Linked DNA regions of Astyanax mexicanus. The protein of the gene in region 2 binds, or shares a complex with, the protein of the main gene of each other region. Links are inferred from orthologs where the notes say so. Each region holds a gene or a part of one and is shown on either strand. Other genes may lie near its edges. The genes, in order: rbmx2, snrnp40 and ppil2.

Region 1 (3,758 bases), on a different chromosome or scaffold from region 2:
AGTCCTCCTTGGAAAGTCCTATTTACGAGGTTTGAGGTCATAATTATGGCTTAACATGCGTTCAAGTGTTTTTTTTGGTTGAGTGGAAATGGACGCCATTACGAAAATTATTTTGTTTGTACTGTTGGTCTATTATCGTCAAAAAAAAAAAAAAAAAAACAAGAGAATAAAGTGAATACGACAAGCATTAGGTGAGTGATGTTTTTATCCCATTAGTAGAACTGTGAATCATACTAGACTTTTACGTTTTTTTTTCATGCATTGCTACTGATTTTATTAGTTAGCTATTCACAAGTTTTTACTGTTTAATGTAGGAGTAGGGTCCATACTGGTAGCCACCATGACCTTTTGTTACTTTGTTCCCCAACTGGGAAACTCTGGGCTTATCTGAAAACCCAAGTTCCCCACTGGTAAATACGAGTTTGTGGTGGTGTTCATGTGCTCTCATCTCGTAAATATGATATTTCCGACACAACTTAAATCCAACCTGAGATAAGCCCTGAGTTTCCCAGTTGGGGGCGTGTCAGTATAAAGAGGTCATGGCGGCTCCTACAGTAAGCGGTAAAAACTTGAGCTTATTAGCAATGGTTTTAAGCTGTACAATTTTAAAACAAACCAAAAAAAAAGGTTTAAAACATAAGTCCAGTATAATTCACGGTACTAATGGGATACAACATCACTCACCTAATGCGTGTCTAATTTACTTAATTCTCTTGGAGTAGGGCAAAATATATCTCCTGTTTTTTATGATAATAGACCAAAAGTACAAACAAAATGATTTTCCTAATGGCGTCCATTTCCACCCGACCGAAAAAACCCAACCTCGTAAGTAGCAATATCCGAGGAAGTCTTGAAGGCAGCAATATCTATTTTCTGATAAAACCGACACCACAAAAATGAAGCATTCTAAATTCTATAGGTTCATTGGTCCATTTATCACAATATAAAAACAAATTCATGCCTAATCTAACGTTCTTACAATGGAAATAATGATGTTTTTCAATGAAAACACCAAAAAAATTAATATAAAATGATTAAACAATTCCTCTATTCCACCAATAATCATTATATCGATAATACAGCGATATCTACTATATCACTTTTACCTGTGGGGAAATCCAGCGTTTAATTTCACTGTAACTGTATTCAGCGACCGTCAGTGGACTTCAACTCCCACAATCCTCCTGGTTCCCCAGCGGAAGAAAACTCTGAGTCCTCGACGTTTTGAAAACCACTTCCATGTGTGGAGCTAAACAGAGATACAATGAAGTAAGTTAGTGCGTTATTTCCCCTCTCTTCATGCTATAATTCATTATATCTGCCTATGTTTTCATAGCGCAAGTGAGACTTTTAATACTAGGTCAGTTATTTAGCTAGCGTTAGTTATTACAGTCTTACTAAGGAGTGCAGAGTACAGAGTGAGCTGGGAATGCTAGGTTAGCTAAGCTAGCTGTTAGCTCACTTTACCTCAGTAGCCTCAGTTGTTTGGGGCTCTGACTCTACACTTACAATGCTTTTAGGCGAAGTGTACCCCTTTAATAATAATAATAATTACTATTATTATTTAATTGTCATTTTCTGGAATGTAGGAGCACAGTAAAAGCTATAAGAATAGAACACAAACATTGATATTCTGTACCAGTCAAAGCCTGGACACACCTCTTCTCTTTTAACCGGTTTTCTTTCTTTTTATATATTCTGAATTTAATATTGAGGACAGTAAAGTTATACAGGAACACAGGAGGAATGATGTTGCAGATCTTGGTATTTTTTCAGTGTCTTTATGAGGTAGAGTCATCAAAATTTTCTCAGCGTCTTGAAGGAGTTCCTGGAGGACTAACCTATATCTGCCTAAGTAAATTATTAAACTAATAAATAAAAGCAAATAAAGAAAGAAATTACGAAAGAATCAATAAAAAAGTTTAAAACAAACAATTCAGTTAATACATTCAGTATATAAATTAGTGAATAATATTTGTATTTTCCTACTTTGCATTTTTTTTATTTCTACATTTTTATTTTCTTCTTTCGATTTATTTCTGTTTTATTTTTGATATTATTTGAAAATATTGTACAATACACCCCTCTTTGTTACCATATGTAGGAACAAATACATACATAAATAACTGAATACATGAAAAAAGTATGAATAAATAAATTAAATAAGTTAAAAATGTACAAATATAGAAATATACAGAAAATCAACACGAGAATTAAGTCATCTGTGAAATTAGCAGTTAATCACAACCTCCTTGCTTTTGTTCTGCAGTCCACTTACCAAAGTGAAGCTCATCAATGAATTGAATGAGAGAGAAGCTAAACTTGGAGTTAAAGACGCAGTATCGTGGCATTCAGTGTACAAGGACAGTGCCTGGATTTTCATTGGTGAGTGACTTAATTGTGGAAACTAACTTTTTAAATTTTTATAAAATTTAAACATTCATTTTTACATGATAGTCTAAAGGTTTAGCACACTTCTCTTACATAAATTCAATAGAAAAGATTAGAAATTAAAATGGGACGCTTAGTAGCTGCTGTGCACAAGTTTGAGGTTGCTATGCCCAGTGCAAGTCTTTGTCTGTGGGGAGCCAGAATTTTAGGACCTCCATGAATGCTCTAAATTTTTTAAGCAAGGTTTTAGCATCTAAACTAAAGCCTTACCAACTGAGCAGAGCAGAGTCTTTCACTGAGGTCAAGTGGGAACAAGCTACTTTTTTCCACAAAAAAAAAAAAAAAAAAGACATTGGACCTTCAGTTACCTTTACTTTATTAATCTGTTGGCTTTACTGTATCTCAGCAGATTTAACAATATATTTAATAGTAAATATGGATGTTGCTTTTTTGGTTATATTGCAGTTGTGTGGTTTTGTTATTGATTATTCTGCCATTTTTGTTCTGCCAGATGGTGGCGGCAGTTGTCTAATTCTGGAAACAGTTCAGTTACAATAGGAGAACATACTTTAAAGCTGGTTTTCTAATTTAGCCAGGTAACCTGGGTTAAAAGTGGCCACTGGTAGGGCTCTGTAAAATTTGTTTTATTTTTGTCTTTTTGACTTCTCTCTCGGTAAGCCAGTTAACATGGGTCAAAACTACCAGTAGTACTATCCGTTAGTAGGGATCTGTAAAATCTATTTAGATTTTTAAAGGTTTACTTAATTTTTACTTTTCACATCTGGAATCTACAATCTGGTTTTAAGCCTCAAGTTCCAAGATTCTGTTTCTGTGTTCTCTGCATTGTGGTAATCATGGGGCTCTACACTAGTATTGTTTCTCAGTTCATCTCATGTTAGAAAGTTCAGCACTTCTGTGTTTCTAACATAAACAAAAACGCTTAATCTGTTCGGTGAATTAATTTGACAGAAACATGTTGACCCGTGCTGCTGTTTTCCTGATTGTACTGTACCCTGCAGGTGGATTTCCATATGAGCTGACAGAGGGAGATGTCATCTGTATTTTCTCACAGTAAGTAAATTTGGCTTACTTTTGCACTGTTTTACACATTCAGACTTGTTTAACACTCATTTTCTGTTTGTTTAGATTTTTAAGATCTCTCTTTTTTTTGTCCATCAGGTATGGAGAAATTGCAAATATTAACTTGGTGCGAGATAAGAAGACGGGAAAATCCAAAGGCTTTTGCTTCCTTTGCTATGAGGATCAAAGAAGCACCATCCTGGCAGTGGATAACTTTAATGGCATAAAGGTACAGATCAACACTGGACAATAACATGTTATATTAAATATATATGATCATAAGTTAG
Region 2 (3,758 bases):
CAGTGGACTGAGTCTGGAGTAGAAACATCCAGAGCCACGGTGCACAGGCGTGGGCAGGAAATGGGCTACAGGTGCCGCATTCCCCAGGTCAAGCCACTTTTGAACCAGAAACAGCGGCAGAAGCGCCTGACCTGGGCTACAGAGAAGCAGCACTGGACTGTTGCTCAATTTTTGCATGTCATTCAGAAATCAAGGTGCCAGAGTCTGGAGGAAGACTGGGGAGAAGGAAATACCAAAATGCCTGAAGTCCAGTGTCAAGTACCTACAGTCAGTGTTGGTCTGGGGTGCCATGTCAGCTGCTGGTGTTGGTCCACTGTGTTTTATGAAGGGCAGGGTCAATGCAGCCAGCTATTAGGAGATTTTGGAGCACTTCATGCTTCCGTCTGCTGAAAAGCTTTATGGAGATGAAGATTTCATTTTTCAGCATGACCTTGCACCTGCACACAGTGCCAAAACCACTGGTAAATGGTTTACTGACCATGGTATTACTGTGCTCAATTGGCCTGCCAACTCTCCTGACCTGAACCCCATAGAGAATCTGTGGGATATAGTGAAGAGAAAGTTGAGAGACGCAAGACCCAACATTTTGGATGAGCTTAAGGCCGCTATCGAAGCATCCTGGGCCTCCATAACACTTCAGCAGTGCCACAGGCTGATTGCTTTCATGCCACGCCGCATTCAAGCAGTCATTTCTGCAAAAGGATTCCCGACCAAGAATTGAGTGCATAACTGAACAAAATTATTTGAAGGTTGACTTTTTTGTATTAAAAACACTTCTTTTATTGGTTGGATGAAATATGCTAATTCTTTGAGATTTTTTTTTTTTTTTTTTACTTTTTTGCCAAAATCATCAATATTAAAACAATAAAAGGCTTGAACTACTTCAGTTGTGTGTAATGAATCTAAAATATATACATTACAGAAAATAATGAACTTTATCACAATATGCTAATTTTTTGAGAAGGACCTGTGTATGCAGTGTTAAAGTTTTAGATATTATTTATTCGAGTTTTAACTAGCAATAACACGGTTATACAGTTTTCACTACTATAAATTGCTGTGGATATCTGGTATTGCAATTTCTACTAGTTAAAATGTAGTTATAAATAAGAGAGAATAAAATTCCATAGCTTATGTCACTATGAACTGAATTATCTGCTCTTCATTTAAAAAAGCATGCTACATTTTAGATTACATTTTAATTTAAGAACTGTCCATTATAAACATCTATTATATATAAACCAATAATAGAAGGAAACGTTGCTGAACTTACTGCTTTCTTCAGGTGAATCCAGGTCAGATGGGAGAGAACGGAACCGGTTTGTGGATGAAGAATAAGGCTGGAGGAGCTTTTATGAAGTCGGTAGATCTTAGTTTAGGATAAATTAAGCATTTCATGCAGTTAAAATACTTAAATAAACCAATAGGTCAGCAAATAATCAGCCTATACTTTCAGTAACACACACTGAATAAACTCGTGCAGGGCTCGTGTTGTTGTTCTGCTCCGCTTACAACTTCCTGTTCAAATGGGCCTCCGCACGGCCAACAGCCAATCAGGAGCCGGCAAACATGAACGGACCAATCAAACGCCCCGATATCACCGGAAGTGTTTGTATTTCACCCCGGCGTGGTGTTAATGGTGGACGGTGAGGAGATCCGTTCAGCTGAATTTAAACTCATACAGAGAACCCCGACCCCCGGCTCCAGCTCATACCCCCGCCTCACCCCGAGAGACCCCGCCGCTAAACACCATGATCGAGCCGAAAAAGCGCGGCGCGGACATGGCGCTGGTTCCCGCCGCCGTGAAGAGACCGAGGAGCGAGCTGGTGGCCGCAGCGCAGAACCAGCAGATCGCCACCATGGTAACTAACAGTCTGATAATCTGGTAAAAAACACAGACAGGGAGATATTACTGTAAAACACTGTACAATTATGAGGTACACTACAGTGTGGTATGTCTGGAGTAACCACACCAGATTTCTGTAGTAGAAACTTTTGTTTCAGATGTGGTATGATGTACTGGTTTAGGAATAATATCAGCTCTACAGATCAATCTAATAAAGCCATTCCTATCACCTGGAGCACAACCCTTTCGAATGTTCTGTATTTATTCATAAATATGACCTAAAACATCATCAGATTTTCAAACAAGTCTTAAAGTAGGTAAAGATATTAAACATATTATACATTGCCATTTATTTATTTAGGAAAATTATCCAATATTACACACAGCTCTGGGAAAAAAGGAGACCACTTCAGGTCTGAAGATTGACCGTCAACTTATTTGAATGTCTGTCAGCAACCGCAGAATAACATTAAGTGACCTATAAAAAGAATGGCAAATGGCAGCTGGGTTGAAGTGCATGGAAAGAACAGTTCAAAACAATCTCTCAGAGGCGGGCTAGAAAAAGTACATTCTCCAATGAGAAGCAAAAAAAGAACCAGGCTAAAGTTTCCAAATTTGTCTATAGAGGACTGGAGTAAGGTCATCTTCTCTAATGAGTCTAATTTTCAGATTTGCTCAACACATGGCCATCAAATGTTTAGATGGAGACCTGCAAAGATGTAAAAGACACAGCTTGCACCCACTGTGACATTTGGTAGAAAATCATTAATGATCTGGGGATGCTTCAGCAAGGATGGAATTGAGCAGTTTGGTTTTTGTGAATGACACATGATTCAAGCCGTATACAAGGTTACCCTGGAAGAAAACTTGCTTCGTTCTGAACTCTTCTTTAGATTAAACTTTAGTATTGTTGTTGTTTCTAAATAAAGGCGAACTTGTTTAGCTTTGCATTATTTGAGGTTTGAAAGCATGGCATCTTTATCGTTAATTTGACCATTTCTTATTTTCTGCAAATAAATGCACTAAATTACAATATTTTTAATTGGAATTTTGAAGAATGTTGTCCGTAGTTTATAGAAACTACATATACCTATAAATAGTTAAATCAGAGAAACAGATTATTTTAAAGTGTTCTCTTAATTTTTTCCAGAGCTGTATTTGTGAGTGGCAAAAGTATATGAGCCTCTGCTTTCAGTATCTGGTAGTCTAAATAAACATTGAATCAATGTCAGAATTTCAACGATGCCAGTGAAGGATTGTAAAATTAAGATAGAAAAACAATCATTAACCTGAAATGATGTACTGCAATAAAAAAGAGCGTTTATTATATGTTTATTCAAACATATCTCTAATTTAGTTCTAATAGCCAGTAAAAATGCATTCAACATATGTGCAGTGTTAAATAGCTTTAATACAATAGCTTAAATACTGTTATTGGTATGTAAAACTCGGAACTAAGTTAGTATCTGTATAACTGGTGTTATTTTAGTTAATAATTTGTTAATAGTTGTTATAACAATTCTTTGCCTCAGTTTGAAAATTGTTTCCTTATATTAACCAAAGCATTATTTTGTCAGGGTCCTCCTCGCAGCTCCAGTTTACAGGCTCCTATAATGTTGCTGTCTGGACATGAAGGAGAAGTCTACTGCTGCAAGTTTCATCCCAATGGAGCCATGCTAGCTTCTGCAGGATATGACCGCCTCATCTGTAAGACTATACTCTGAGCACGTTTGTGAAAATGCACTGAGCGTTAATTTATTATTGTGTTGTCTTTCTTTCTGTGAGCCATAATGGTAAAAGAACCACATGATGGTGCTTATAATTTGCTAATTTCATGGGGTCAGAGCCTCAGAATTAAATATAGTCAAAATTCTTAAAAAAAAAAACAACAACTGTAGATGGTCAGTTTTGG
Region 3 (3,758 bases), on a different chromosome or scaffold from region 2:
GAATTTATCTATGAATCTTTGCTGATGAATTAATAAATCAATGATTTAAAGGCAAAAGGCCTGTTGGACATGTGGGCCAATAGAAATGCAGAGGCAGGGAGTGTGAATTTTGTCCACAGTGTAATAGCGCCACCTGCTGGATGGATAACTCAACATCATATGAACTACAAACATTTTTAAATTAATATTTTTTTTTCTGTTTTTTGGTGATAGGAAGATTTTTTTTTGTTTAAAGAAAAATTCAAAATGTGCTCCTGCATATCTTTAGGTCTTCAATATTAAATTTATAATAATGAAAAACACACAGTGAATGAGAAGACAATAAAACGTCTGACTGGCACTGTTTATGAACTATTTTTTATATAATAGTAAAGCAGTATTGGAACAGATGGTTTTACTGCACTCTTTAATGCAGCATTTACACACTTTACACACAGCACATTCACAATATATATAGTTATTATTATTTTAATAGAATCAATTGTACTCTAATATTAGTAATAACGATAATCCAGAACAGTGAACAATGATATATATATATATATATATATATATATATATATATATATATATATATATATATATATATATATATATATATATATATATGGGGGTGGACTGGGCAAACCAGAGAAACACCTTCTGAAATGTGTAAAAATGAAGTAAAAATGGCTAAATAAAATAAAATATAAATATTATTTGGATGGCAAACATGAGCTTATAATAATAGTATTTATTATTATTATTATTATTATTATTATTATTATTATTATTATTATTATTATTGTTATTACTTACTTTTTTATTTAATTATTGACTTTTTATTGTTATATTATTATTTATTTCCAAAGGACCCTAAAAGAACACAAAAAGGTAGTGGGACACAAAAAGCGCCTTCCTGTGTTTAACCCGGACTAATGTTACTGTAGTACAGCGCTTAGCCCGGACCCGTAGCTATAGCAGTTAGCTAGGTTAGCTAAGCTAATAGCGCTGTAACTGTGTGTTTTTAGGTGTAAATTATCGGTGTATTCTCTTTGGGAGCTGTTTACACATTAAACAACAATGGGGAAGCGGCAGCACCAAAAGGACAAGATGTAAGTCTGCATTAATCCGGATTAAATCCGTTTTATTCATCGAATTAAACTAGCTGCGCTGGTTCAGCCTAACAGCTAACTGGGTTAATCTGAACTCTTAAAACTCTATAAATATCAGGATTCAGTTTAATATTTAATAAAACAGCTGAAACTTAGTTAAAATATGTATATAACCATGTTTCTCTTTTCCTAGGATAGTACTGTATCTGTTTTCTCTCAATTTAACGTTACTCTGCATCATTTATAATAATTTAACGTTAGATAAACATCATTAAATAAACTGTTTTAGTAAATATTAAATCAGACAATAGGCTTGATATTTAATTCATATTTTGTCAAATTTGTTTATATGCTTGTTTGTTTATATTTGCTATTTATTTTTAATGGTATTATTATTGTTATTATTTGTATTATTTAAAATATATATTATTTAATATTTTGTTTTAGCGTCACTTTAGTTTCTTTTCTTTTTCATTTGGCTTCTTTAAAAAACAGAATGTATCTTTTCAACCTAACTTTTTCTTTGAGTACATTAGCTGTGTATTTGTTGTTGTTGCGTTTAGTTTGTTTGTTTGTTATTTTTCTTGTCAATCCCTGTTAATCTATTTGCTCGGCAGCTAAAAACGAGGGTCACCCTCAGTGTAAAATAGATGTTGATTAATTGATAAATATGATGGATTGATTGACACAGCTGTTTAAGCAAGATGTTATTTATTTTGAAAAAAGCTAAAATATTAATAAAGTCAACAAATTGAGTGGACAATACTAAGTTAATCAGAGATTATTGAGATTATGCCTGTTTAGTGGACAATAAACAACGACCTTCCTGATTTTATGTGTAAGAATTAGATTTTTAATATGTCAGTGTTAAGCTTTAACTAATCAAATTACAGTCTAAATCTCAAAGTTTATTTGTTATAAATGGTACATATGACTTTCTGCTCACTCATGAAGAGTGGTGAATAGTGCTGCTCATTTTATTCCTACTATTCCTATTTTTCAGGTACATCACCTGTGCAGAGTACACACATTTCTATGGAGGCAAGAAAGCAGGTGTGTATTTTTGGAGCATGGCAATACATTCTTTTCCTTTTTACTTTTTTTTTTTTATTATTAACACTTAGTGCGATCTTTCTTTTATCTGCAGAAATCCCACAGGCTAATTTCAGACGATTACCCTTTGATCACTGCAGGTGAGTTGTACAGATAGGTGTGTCTGTGTTTGTGTGTGTGTTTCATTTATTGCTACTTTTGATATCAGACTTCTTAACAATTACAGATCTTTTATTAAAAGTTACAGTCCTTTTATTAACAATTACAGTCATTTATTGCTGAATAGCTTTTGGCTGAATAGCTTTTGGATGCACATGGCTACCGGATCAGCAGAATCTAGTAGAGGACATTTCAGTAAATTATTCAGAGGCAGCCAGCCGTCGCTTTTCACTCCAGTAGCCTGACCTTAAGCACTATTCCTCGATTCTATATAAACTAACCCCACTATACAAATACAAAATATGCCTGTATATAAATTTGCATTTTAAATTTTGCATTGACATGTCTATTAGTAATAAAGCTTTGCAAATGTCTTTGCACTAGGAATTAACACGTTTTAGGGGAAGATCTGTATTAGAACAAAATAATTTATATTATATTACTTTATGCTATATTTGATATCTTTTCATCCTGTGGGGTCTAAATCAGGATATATATATTGTTTCCTGTTCTCACTTGTGTTTGGGTCTTTGTGTTCTTTCAGTTTGTCTCTTCAGCCCTTTGAGTATCCCATGTGCACCCCTGAAGGCGTGGTCTTTGACCTCATGTAAGTACAAGTACACTAATATCACAATCCCAGTATCAGTCCTCTGGTCACATATACTGGTGATCACCTGAGGGGTTAATAGTAGGGATGCACAATGATATTGGAATTTTATCGCTATCGGCTGATTATCTCTTAGAATCATTGGCATCAGACAATTTGGACGATATTTCAAACAATACTTGCTGATGTATTTGTTGTATGGCAAAAAAGGACCAAGTGTCACTAGCTGCACTACTAGCACTAGCTAGTTTGCATTTATTTGTATTAGTTTTAAAGTTATAAAGTGATACTGGTGTATGTTGTCTTTCTGTAGTTTAGAAATGTGTACCTTGACATCGACAAATATATATATAAATATATATATATATATATATATATATATATATATATATATATATATATAAATATAAATATATATATATATATATATATATATATATATATATATATATATAAATGTGTAATTTCATATATTTGCATTAGCGTAGAATTTCCCACATTGGTACATCCCTAATTAGTGTAATTACTGATTTGGTTCATGTAGGTTGATTTTATTTGTGCAATAGAAACATTATGGATTTTAACATATTCTTATGTATTTAAATCTGTATTTGAAGGTTTTATTATTTTCTCTGAGCAAAGATTTTAATCTTAGGACAAATTTAATACAAATGCTGTTTGATGCTGTTTTAGCTGAAAGGTTCTTTGATGGTTTAAATGGTTCTACACCATATCTTTGTGTGTAGAGCAGGGGTCACCAACATGGTGCCCGCGGGCACCAGGTAGCCCGCAAGGACCTTATGAGTAGCCCGCAGGCCTGGTCTAAAAATAGCATTTTTGTTGCT

The links.
Region 1: snrnp40 (region 2) and rbmx2 share a complex: the UniProt entries of both Homo sapiens proteins name them as parts of the minor spliceosome. The link is inferred for Astyanax mexicanus from reciprocal best matches to the Homo sapiens genes SNRNP40 and RBMX2.
Region 3: snrnp40 (region 2) and ppil2 share a complex: the UniProt entries of both Homo sapiens proteins name them as parts of the minor spliceosome. The link is inferred for Astyanax mexicanus from reciprocal best matches to the Homo sapiens genes SNRNP40 and PPIL2.

Annotation. Positions count from the first base shown.
Region 1 is NC_064424.1:17,118,981-17,122,738, forward strand, and holds the start of rbmx2 (RNA-binding motif protein, X-linked 2), read left to right. Parts: upstream 1-1,181; 5' UTR 1,182-1,264; coding exon 1,265-1,269; intron 1,270-2,269; coding exon 2,270-2,385; intron 2,386-3,410; coding exon 3,411-3,462; intron 3,463-3,570; coding exon 3,571-3,700; intron 3,701-3,758. UniProt on the Homo sapiens protein: Involved in pre-mRNA splicing as component of the activated spliceosome. As a component of the minor spliceosome, involved in the splicing of U12-type introns in pre-mRNAs.
Region 2 is NC_064410.1:50,283,198-50,286,955, forward strand, and holds the start of snrnp40 (U5 small nuclear ribonucleoprotein 40 kDa protein), read left to right. Parts: upstream 1-1,617; 5' UTR 1,618-1,751; coding exon 1,752-1,862; intron 1,863-3,423; coding exon 3,424-3,553; intron 3,554-3,758. UniProt on the Homo sapiens protein: Required for pre-mRNA splicing as component of the activated spliceosome. Component of the U5 small nuclear ribonucleoprotein (snRNP) complex and the U4/U6-U5 tri-snRNP complex, building blocks of the spliceosome.
Region 3 is NC_064429.1:31,212,835-31,216,592, reverse strand, and holds the start of ppil2 (RING-type E3 ubiquitin-protein ligase PPIL2), read left to right. Parts: upstream 1-914; 5' UTR 915-1,062; coding exon 1,063-1,094; intron 1,095-2,097; coding exon 2,098-2,147; intron 2,148-2,241; coding exon 2,242-2,287; intron 2,288-2,850; coding exon 2,851-2,913; intron 2,914-3,758. UniProt on the Homo sapiens protein: Has a ubiquitin-protein ligase activity acting as an E3 ubiquitin protein ligase or as an ubiquitin-ubiquitin ligase promoting elongation of ubiquitin chains on substrates.